Linked DNA regions of Sus scrofa. The protein of the gene in region 2 interacts with the protein of the main gene of each other region in a pairwise test. Links are inferred from orthologs where the notes say so. Each region holds a gene or a part of one and is shown on either strand. Other genes may lie near its edges.

Region 1 (3,653 bases), on a different chromosome or scaffold from region 2:
AAAAAACCAATAAAACAGAGAAAAAGAATAGTGAATGAAATTAGGATTGTGCTATTTGCAATTGACTAATCAGGGAAGGCTTTTCAGATAGGGTGACATTTAGAACGGAGATCTGAATTAAAAGAGCAAGCCACGCAGCCATAGGATAAGAGTGTTCAGACAGAGGAAATTGTTAATGGATAGGTCTTTAAGATTCAAATGCGCTTTTCATGATAGAGATGCATTTATCAAGTAAAGGATAAAATCAAATAGTTATATGGAGCTCAAACCAACAACGGACTTGTAGGCCATTGTGAGGAATTTGGATTTTGTTCTGAGATGGAAAGTCACTGGAGAGATGAGGGGAAGAGAGATTTAATCTGACTTAAATTTTAACATCACTCTAGCTACTTATTGTGTTGGGAACATTCTACACTGGTGCTGGTGGTGGTGGGGATGGGGGGGTTGGGGGAGTGGAGTAGAGTAGGGGAGACATAGGGGTCAAAAGCAGAAGCAGGGAGACCAGAAGGCTATGGCTATAAGCGCATCCTGGCTTGGACTAGCATAGTAGCAGTAGCAGTGGAAGTGGTGAGATGTGATTGGATTTTGTATATATTTTGAAGGTAGAGCTTCAGAGGAATTTTTTTTTTTTATAGGTTGTGGGATATAAGAGAAAGTGAATTAAAGATTATGCCAAGGTTTTTGGTCTGAACATCTGGTGGAATGGGTTTGTCATTCACTGAGATGGTGAAAATTGGGAGAGAAATAGGTTTGGAGGAGAGAGACAAGAATCCAGAATTAAGCCTTGGATGAGTTAATTTTGAGATTCTCATTAGAATCCAAGTGGAAAATGTGAGCAAGCAACTGGCTATAACAAGTTGGGATGCAATGGGAGGAATCTGTGCTCGAAATATAAAATTGGGGGAGTTCCTGTTGTGGCTCAGCGGGTTAAGAACCTGACTAGTATCCATGAGGTTGCAGGTTCAATCCCTGACCTCGCTCAGTTGGTTAAGGATCTGGCATTGCTGCAAGCTGCAGATGCAGCTCGAATCTGGCACTGCTGTAGTTGTGGTTTTAGGTCAGCAGCTGCACCTCCTATTTAGCCCCTAACCTGGGAATTTCCATATGCTGGAGGTATGCTCCCCCCCCCCAAAAAAAAGAAAGAAAAAAAATAGAAAATTAGAAAAGATATGGATGATATTTAAACCATGAGACAATAGGGGATCATCAAGGGATTAATCAGCAGTGGAAGCTGAGGAGTAGCCAGGGAGATCGGAAGAGAAACGAAAGAATGGGATTCTCAGGAGTTCCCTGGTGGCCCAGCGTTTGGGGGATCAGGTGCTGTCACTCCTGTGGTACGAGTCTAATCCCTGGCCCAGGAGAAAAAACAACGGGGTTCTCAGAGGCAAAAGCATTTGGTTTTGACATGTTGAGTATGTTTGGTTTTAGACCTGTTGAGTGTTGCCAAGCACTCCTTTCCCATGAGGCTTGCTGGGGGCACTAATGGAGCTTACTGCTTGACCTATGCAGCCTAGCTAGGGATCCAGAGATAGAAGACAGTTCACTGGACTGCCTGTTTTTCGTGCCTCCCTAACCCAAATTTGAAGTATCAAAACATCTTTTTCTGTACATTTGAGGATAGTATTCTGCTGCCTTTCGCCTCGTATTTTGAGAGATCACAAAATGAAACTGTCAGGGAAATAGAGCCAGTATGTGGTGATTTCTGAGTTATAAAATTTAGCCATTGAAGGGGATGAGGGAAGTAATTTAAGGGCCTGTCATATGCAAGGCCCTATGGAAAGTGCTTTACATATATGATGTATAATCTCAGAGCAAGTAACTCACCCAAGGTCACCGAGCTACTAAACCAAGAAACAGAGAAAGGAATTAGAGTGATTCCAGAGCCCTGCTTTTTATGACAACTGTGCTGGGGAAACCTACTATTTTTAAAGCCAAGCGAGAATGGGCCCGTGGAAGAATGGAAGCTACAGAATGGCTGAAATTGCTGATTGAAGTAGCAAGGGTCAGAGGGAAGCAGAAAGGGATAGGATTTAAGGCAAAAGTAGAGATGTGAACCTCGAAAAAGAAAACACATCTTTCTCTGAGTTAAAAGGGAGGAAGAGTATGAGAGTGGAGATAAAGTGAATAGGAGATGATTTTTGAGGTGATCATGATTTTGGATAAATAAAAAATAAGATCACCTTCCCAGAAAGGAGTGGAGACCTTAGGAACAGCTTCTGGAGAGAATATGGAAGAGATTTCTCTCCTTTTCCTTTCCTCTTTCTTCTTGCTTCTTCTTCTCTGTTTCCTTCCTCTTTCTCCTTTGTTCCCTTCTGCCTTTCTTCACAGTTTCTCTCCAGTATTTCACTTTTCTTATCCCTTTTCCTTATTTCTCACTTGTTTTATTTCCCACTTTTTCCCCCTCCTGTCTCTTTTTACCTTTTTTCTTTCTCTTCTTTCCTTCTCCAATTCTTTGAGCATAGACAAAGAAATGAAGGTGGCACAGCCGACATATTTTACCTATTTAGAGGAGGAGGGAGCTCCTGATGTGGCTCAGTGGTAATGAACTTGACGAGTATCCATGAGGACACGGGTTCCACTCCTGGCCTTGCTCAGTAGGTTAAGAATCTGGTGGTGCTGTGAGCTGTGGTGTAGGTTGCAGGCGAGGCTCAGATCCTGAGTTGCTGTGGTGTAGGCCTGTGCCCACAGCTCTGATTCTACCCCTGGCCTGGGAATTTCCATATACCACACTGGCCCTTTAAAAAAGAAAAAAAAGAATAGTGGGGAGTTGGTCATTCCTCCACCAGGTGGCACAATGACTTAAGAATCTGACTGCATGCAGAGGTTCTGCTCAGTAAGGCCCAGGTTCCATCCCTAGAACTGGAGCAGTGGGTTAAAGGTTCTGGTGTTGCCACAGCTATGGCTCAGATTCAATACCCTGGCCCGGGAACTTCCATGTGCCCAGGTGTGGCCATAAGCTTTTTTAAAAAAGGACTAGGGGGGAGTTCCCGTCGTAGCGCAGTGGTTAACGAATCCGACTAGGAACCATGAGGTTGTGTGTTTGATCCCTGGCCTTGCTCAGTGGGTTAAGGATCTGGCGTTGCAGTGAGCTGTGGTATAGGTTGCAGAGGTGGCTGGGATCCCAGTGTATGCTGCAGGAGTGGCCCAAGAAATGGCAAAAAGACAAAAAAAAAAAAAAAAAAAAAAGGAGTGGGGGGAATTCCAGCTGGGGAAGGGAAGTTAGCCCAGAGGAGGTGATACTTACATTGGCTGACTGATGTCTGCAAAGAAGTTAATTTCAAGTTTCAGTGAGCTGGGTACTGCTGCCATGAATAGCATACTCTTTCGTTTAATGTTATCAGAGTGAGTCTCTCAGCTGTATCTCATTTACCTCAGGTCTCAGTTCACACTGAGGAACAGGAAATGTTCTTGCAGGAGGTGGCACCTCTAGGATCAGAACAAGAACCCGGTATGTCTCTCCCATCCGTGAAAGTCCAGCTAAAGTGTGAATCTCCGGACCTTGAAGCCCAGCAGGAGCAAGGTAAAGAGGAAAGACCCATCTTGGGAGGAAGGGAAGATGCAGCTAACACAGGACACTGGGGCTTTTTTGTACTTCATGCTGTTTCTGATTATCAAAGTCAAGACAGTCTCCAGGAATCTGACAGCTCATGCGT
Region 2 (3,653 bases):
TTTAGACAAAAAGATCTGGAAGGATGTATATCATTGGTCATTTACGGGAAGGAAAATATTTTTAATAGTTTCGCCTCTGTATTTCCTAATTTTCTAAAATGTATTGCATGTTGCTCTGTAATAGCTTTTTTTTTTTTTAATTTTAAAATAACATGAAACATACAAAACCCACAAAGGCACCCAAGGAGATGAGCTAATTTCAATGTCTGAAGAAGACTGAGGAGATGTGATCATGTCTATACAGTAACAGAAGTACCGCCACCACTTTAGAGTATATAAGTTAGCATCACCTGGGGAAAGATAACAAGCATGAGCCCTCGGGCCCAGCCAGATCTCTGAGGCAAAACCTCCAGCTGTATCTTAAATATCTGCATTTCCTACCAGGTCCCCAAATAACCTGATACACAACACCTTGACCTTTGAGAACCCCACTCCAGACTTTGGGTTCCATGACACACACAATCTCCTACGACAAACTACAAGAGATACCTGTCACCACAGTTCTCTGGCTACTTGGGACAGTGAGGGAGAACGCAGAGACTGCATGGACAGAACAGAGGCTAAAAGTCTAATGTTAAGTTCAAGGCTGAGGGCCCACTCCTGGTCACAGTGAGTGAGAGCAACCTTCCTATTCTCTAACCTGGTGACTGTACTTCTAGGAATCTATCATTTTAAAAAGTCTAAAACAGGAGTTCCCATCTTGGCGCAGCAGAAATGAATGTGACTAGGAACTATGAGGTTGCAGGTTCAATCCCTGGCCTCGCTCAATGGGTTAAGGGTCCAGCGTTGCTGTGAGCTGTGGTGTAGGTTGCAGACGCGGCTCGATCTGGTGTTGCTGTGGCTCTGGCGTAGGCCAGCTGTTACAGCTCCAATTAGATCCCTAGCCTGGGAACTTCCGTATGCCGTGGGTGCGGTCCTAAAAAGACAAAAGACCAAAACAAAAAACCCCACAAAGATAAGGCTAACCTGCTCTCAACAAAACCACAAAAGTTAAAGATGAAGCAACAGAATACCACGAACATCACTGAATTCACGGACAGCAAGCTGCAGAGCTGGAGTGCTGGATTTAGCACTGTAGTGTAGTGAAGAGCACCTGGCACAGGGTAGGAACAACAATGAGCCTAAATGGGAGTGCAGGAAATGGGCAGAGGCTACTGCCACGCAAGAAAGCAGGACACACAAGAAAGCCTGCCCAGAAGACCCACAGGAACCTTATGAGCAAGTGTTGGGTGACTGATGCTGCTGTGGTTAACTGTGTGTGTGTCTTGCAAGCCTCCATCCTGGACCAGGTGTCCATGGGCCCCCCATACCTTGACCTGAGAAATCTCTTTCTGGGGAGCAGAGAGCTTCTTGCTAATTCTGCCCTTGGCTTTTAACTCTTCCACTGTCTTGTAAGAGTATTTGGGCTTCTTCTTGCTTCCGCTGGGGTCTTTCCTCCACTGGCTCAGCTCCTTCTGAAATTCCTGAATCAAGAATATAACATAGTCCATCACAACAAGAAAGGGCCACTTTTTCCCGCAAGTGGGGACACTGAGGCTTTCAGAACACCATGCTAAGCACCGTCCCTCCATAACACTAAGACCATCCAAAGACACTGCTTGATGCCCACTCCCTGCCTTACAAATACTGAGGCTCAGACCCCTTCCCCACATAGCCAACCTACTTTCTTCTGAGTACTTCCTGGCACAACTGCTCTTTCTAACCACACCGTGGTTACTTTTTTACTGCTCCCTGTCCACCAGGCTCCACGCCTGGTCACGGCAGGACACCAGCCTTCAGCAGTGTCTGGCACCTGCTGTGCAAGCGACCTCTAAACACTGGCCGAGTGAACAAATGAGCAAACAACAGTCCCAAGAGGCAGAGACAGAATCCAGCCCATCTCCTGACTCACCTCCTCAGCTTCTTCCTCAGAGTCAACCACGGGGAAGTCCTGCAGGGACTGGGTGGTGCGCTCTGAGCCATACGCCCCCACCGCGCCTTTCCCCTTTCTCTGCTTGGCTTCAATTGGGTTAATGATACCTGGCAAGTTGCAGCAAAAGACAGACTTCAGATCACAGCAGTTCTTGTGAGTGAGCCACTCAGGGAGACCACACTCCTGGTCCTCACACACAGTAACATGCTACCCAGGAAGGAAACATGCTTCTGCCCTCACGACACCGTTTGGCTCCTGTGTGGCCAGAAGCTTCTGAGCGTGTGTGCTGCCACAAAACAGTGTGCTGATATTGTTTGTATCCTAAATACAGACTTCCATTTCTACTTGGACTTGTTGGTTTTTTTTTAGTGGACAGGAATATTTTATAACTGGGATCTCAGGCAAATTAGATTCTATACTCTGCTCATTTGGAAGCCCATTAATTCAGATATTATATTGATTCTGACTGAAGTAAGGTGAAGCTGCCATTTAATATGAAACTCCACCTATTTTACTTAGGAGTTCATATCTCCTATGAGCTATAACAAGTTTAAGCCTGGAAAATAAGTATTTTTCTTGTAAAAGTTTACAAACAGGACTGCATTTCAGTGAAGAACTGCCACACCCCAGACTTCCTACCAGGCCCCTTCCAGCTAGTACTGTTGAAATCCCAATTAGCACACTTCCCTCACTCCCATGCCATTGCCACTCAAGTCCATGGATTCTTCATACGGCTGATGTTTTCAACCCACAATCCATATCTAACTTTATAATACCTAGGGGCTGAATCTGAATTACAGAGAATACTACTGATGACATCCCACTGGTGAGTGTTGTAAAACAAAAGGCAACACCTGATGTTTTACTGATATTCCTGAAGGACAGGTAACTGGCTTTTTGCAAAACTAAAAAATAGTTACCTGTCCTGCCCCCGCATGAGCAAGAGTCCAAACTCATATGCCTTTAGGGTCCAGGAACATTAATATGAACAGGGAAAGTGGGCTGGAGTAAAAGGGGAGTGTGGAGGCAGCTTCCAGGAGAAGGCCTTGGGTGCTGACTGGGACAGCAAGGACTCAGCTAAACCAGTCACTGCCAGGCAACTCTAGAATGGAAGTGAAACTGTCTGCTTTTTAAATATTGGCAACCAGTTTGATTTTTTAGAAACACCGGGCAGGCTAGAAAGAAGCCTGTTCTCAGCCTGTCAGCCTGATTTAAACCCTAACCTCTCCCTCCTGCCGAAACAAGTATTTTATGTAACTTGAGTTCTGATAAAGCATGAAGCATAGAGCACAGCATCTGTGCTGGCAGAACAGGCTGCAGGGTCCCAGCCCTCCGAACAGTGAAAAAGCAGAAAAGAGGAGGCCACTGCCCTCCCTGCTCTTCCCACCTCTGCCTGACAGCAAGTGCAAGACTGTGGGGTGGGACTGCCACACCTTGTGCATTCTTCCCAAGGCCCCTTCCAGGGACATAGCCCATCTTCTGAAGCAGCTTCTGTCCAATTCCTTTTGTGTGTCTTTCCCAGCTGCCAAAATCCATGAACGACTTGGTTCCTCCTGCAAAACCTTTCTGACTGGGTTTAAAGTTACCACCCTGAAAAGGAGAAAAATCAAAGTTTAGTTAATAGAAAAAGAAGGAAAACGTAATAAAGCAAGCTTAGCTGATGGGAGCATGACCTGGCAGTCACAGAGCATTATGAAAAATATCTCACCAATCAAACCTACCTCTGATGCATCTTAGGGAA

The links.
Region 1: the proteins of TFIP11 (region 2) and ZSCAN12 interact in binary tests that used the Homo sapiens proteins (3 or more experiments, as listed by UniProt). The two-hybrid records come from large-scale screens. The link is inferred for Sus scrofa from reciprocal best matches to the Homo sapiens genes TFIP11 and ZSCAN12.

Annotation. Positions count from the first base shown.
Region 1 is NC_010449.5:22,202,595-22,206,247, reverse strand, and holds part of ZSCAN12 (zinc finger and SCAN domain-containing protein 12), read left to right. Parts: intron 1-3,375; coding exon 3,376-3,520; intron 3,521-3,653. UniProt on the Homo sapiens protein: May be involved in transcriptional regulation.
Region 2 is NC_010456.5:44,102,576-44,106,228, forward strand, and holds part of TFIP11 (tuftelin-interacting protein 11), read right to left. Parts: intron 3,503-3,653; coding exon 3,346-3,502; intron 2,020-3,345; coding exon 1,892-2,019; intron 1,464-1,891; coding exon 1,311-1,463; intron 1-1,310. UniProt on the Homo sapiens protein: Involved in pre-mRNA splicing, specifically in spliceosome disassembly during late-stage splicing events. Intron turnover seems to proceed through reactions in two lariat-intron associated complexes termed Intron Large (IL) and Intron Small (IS).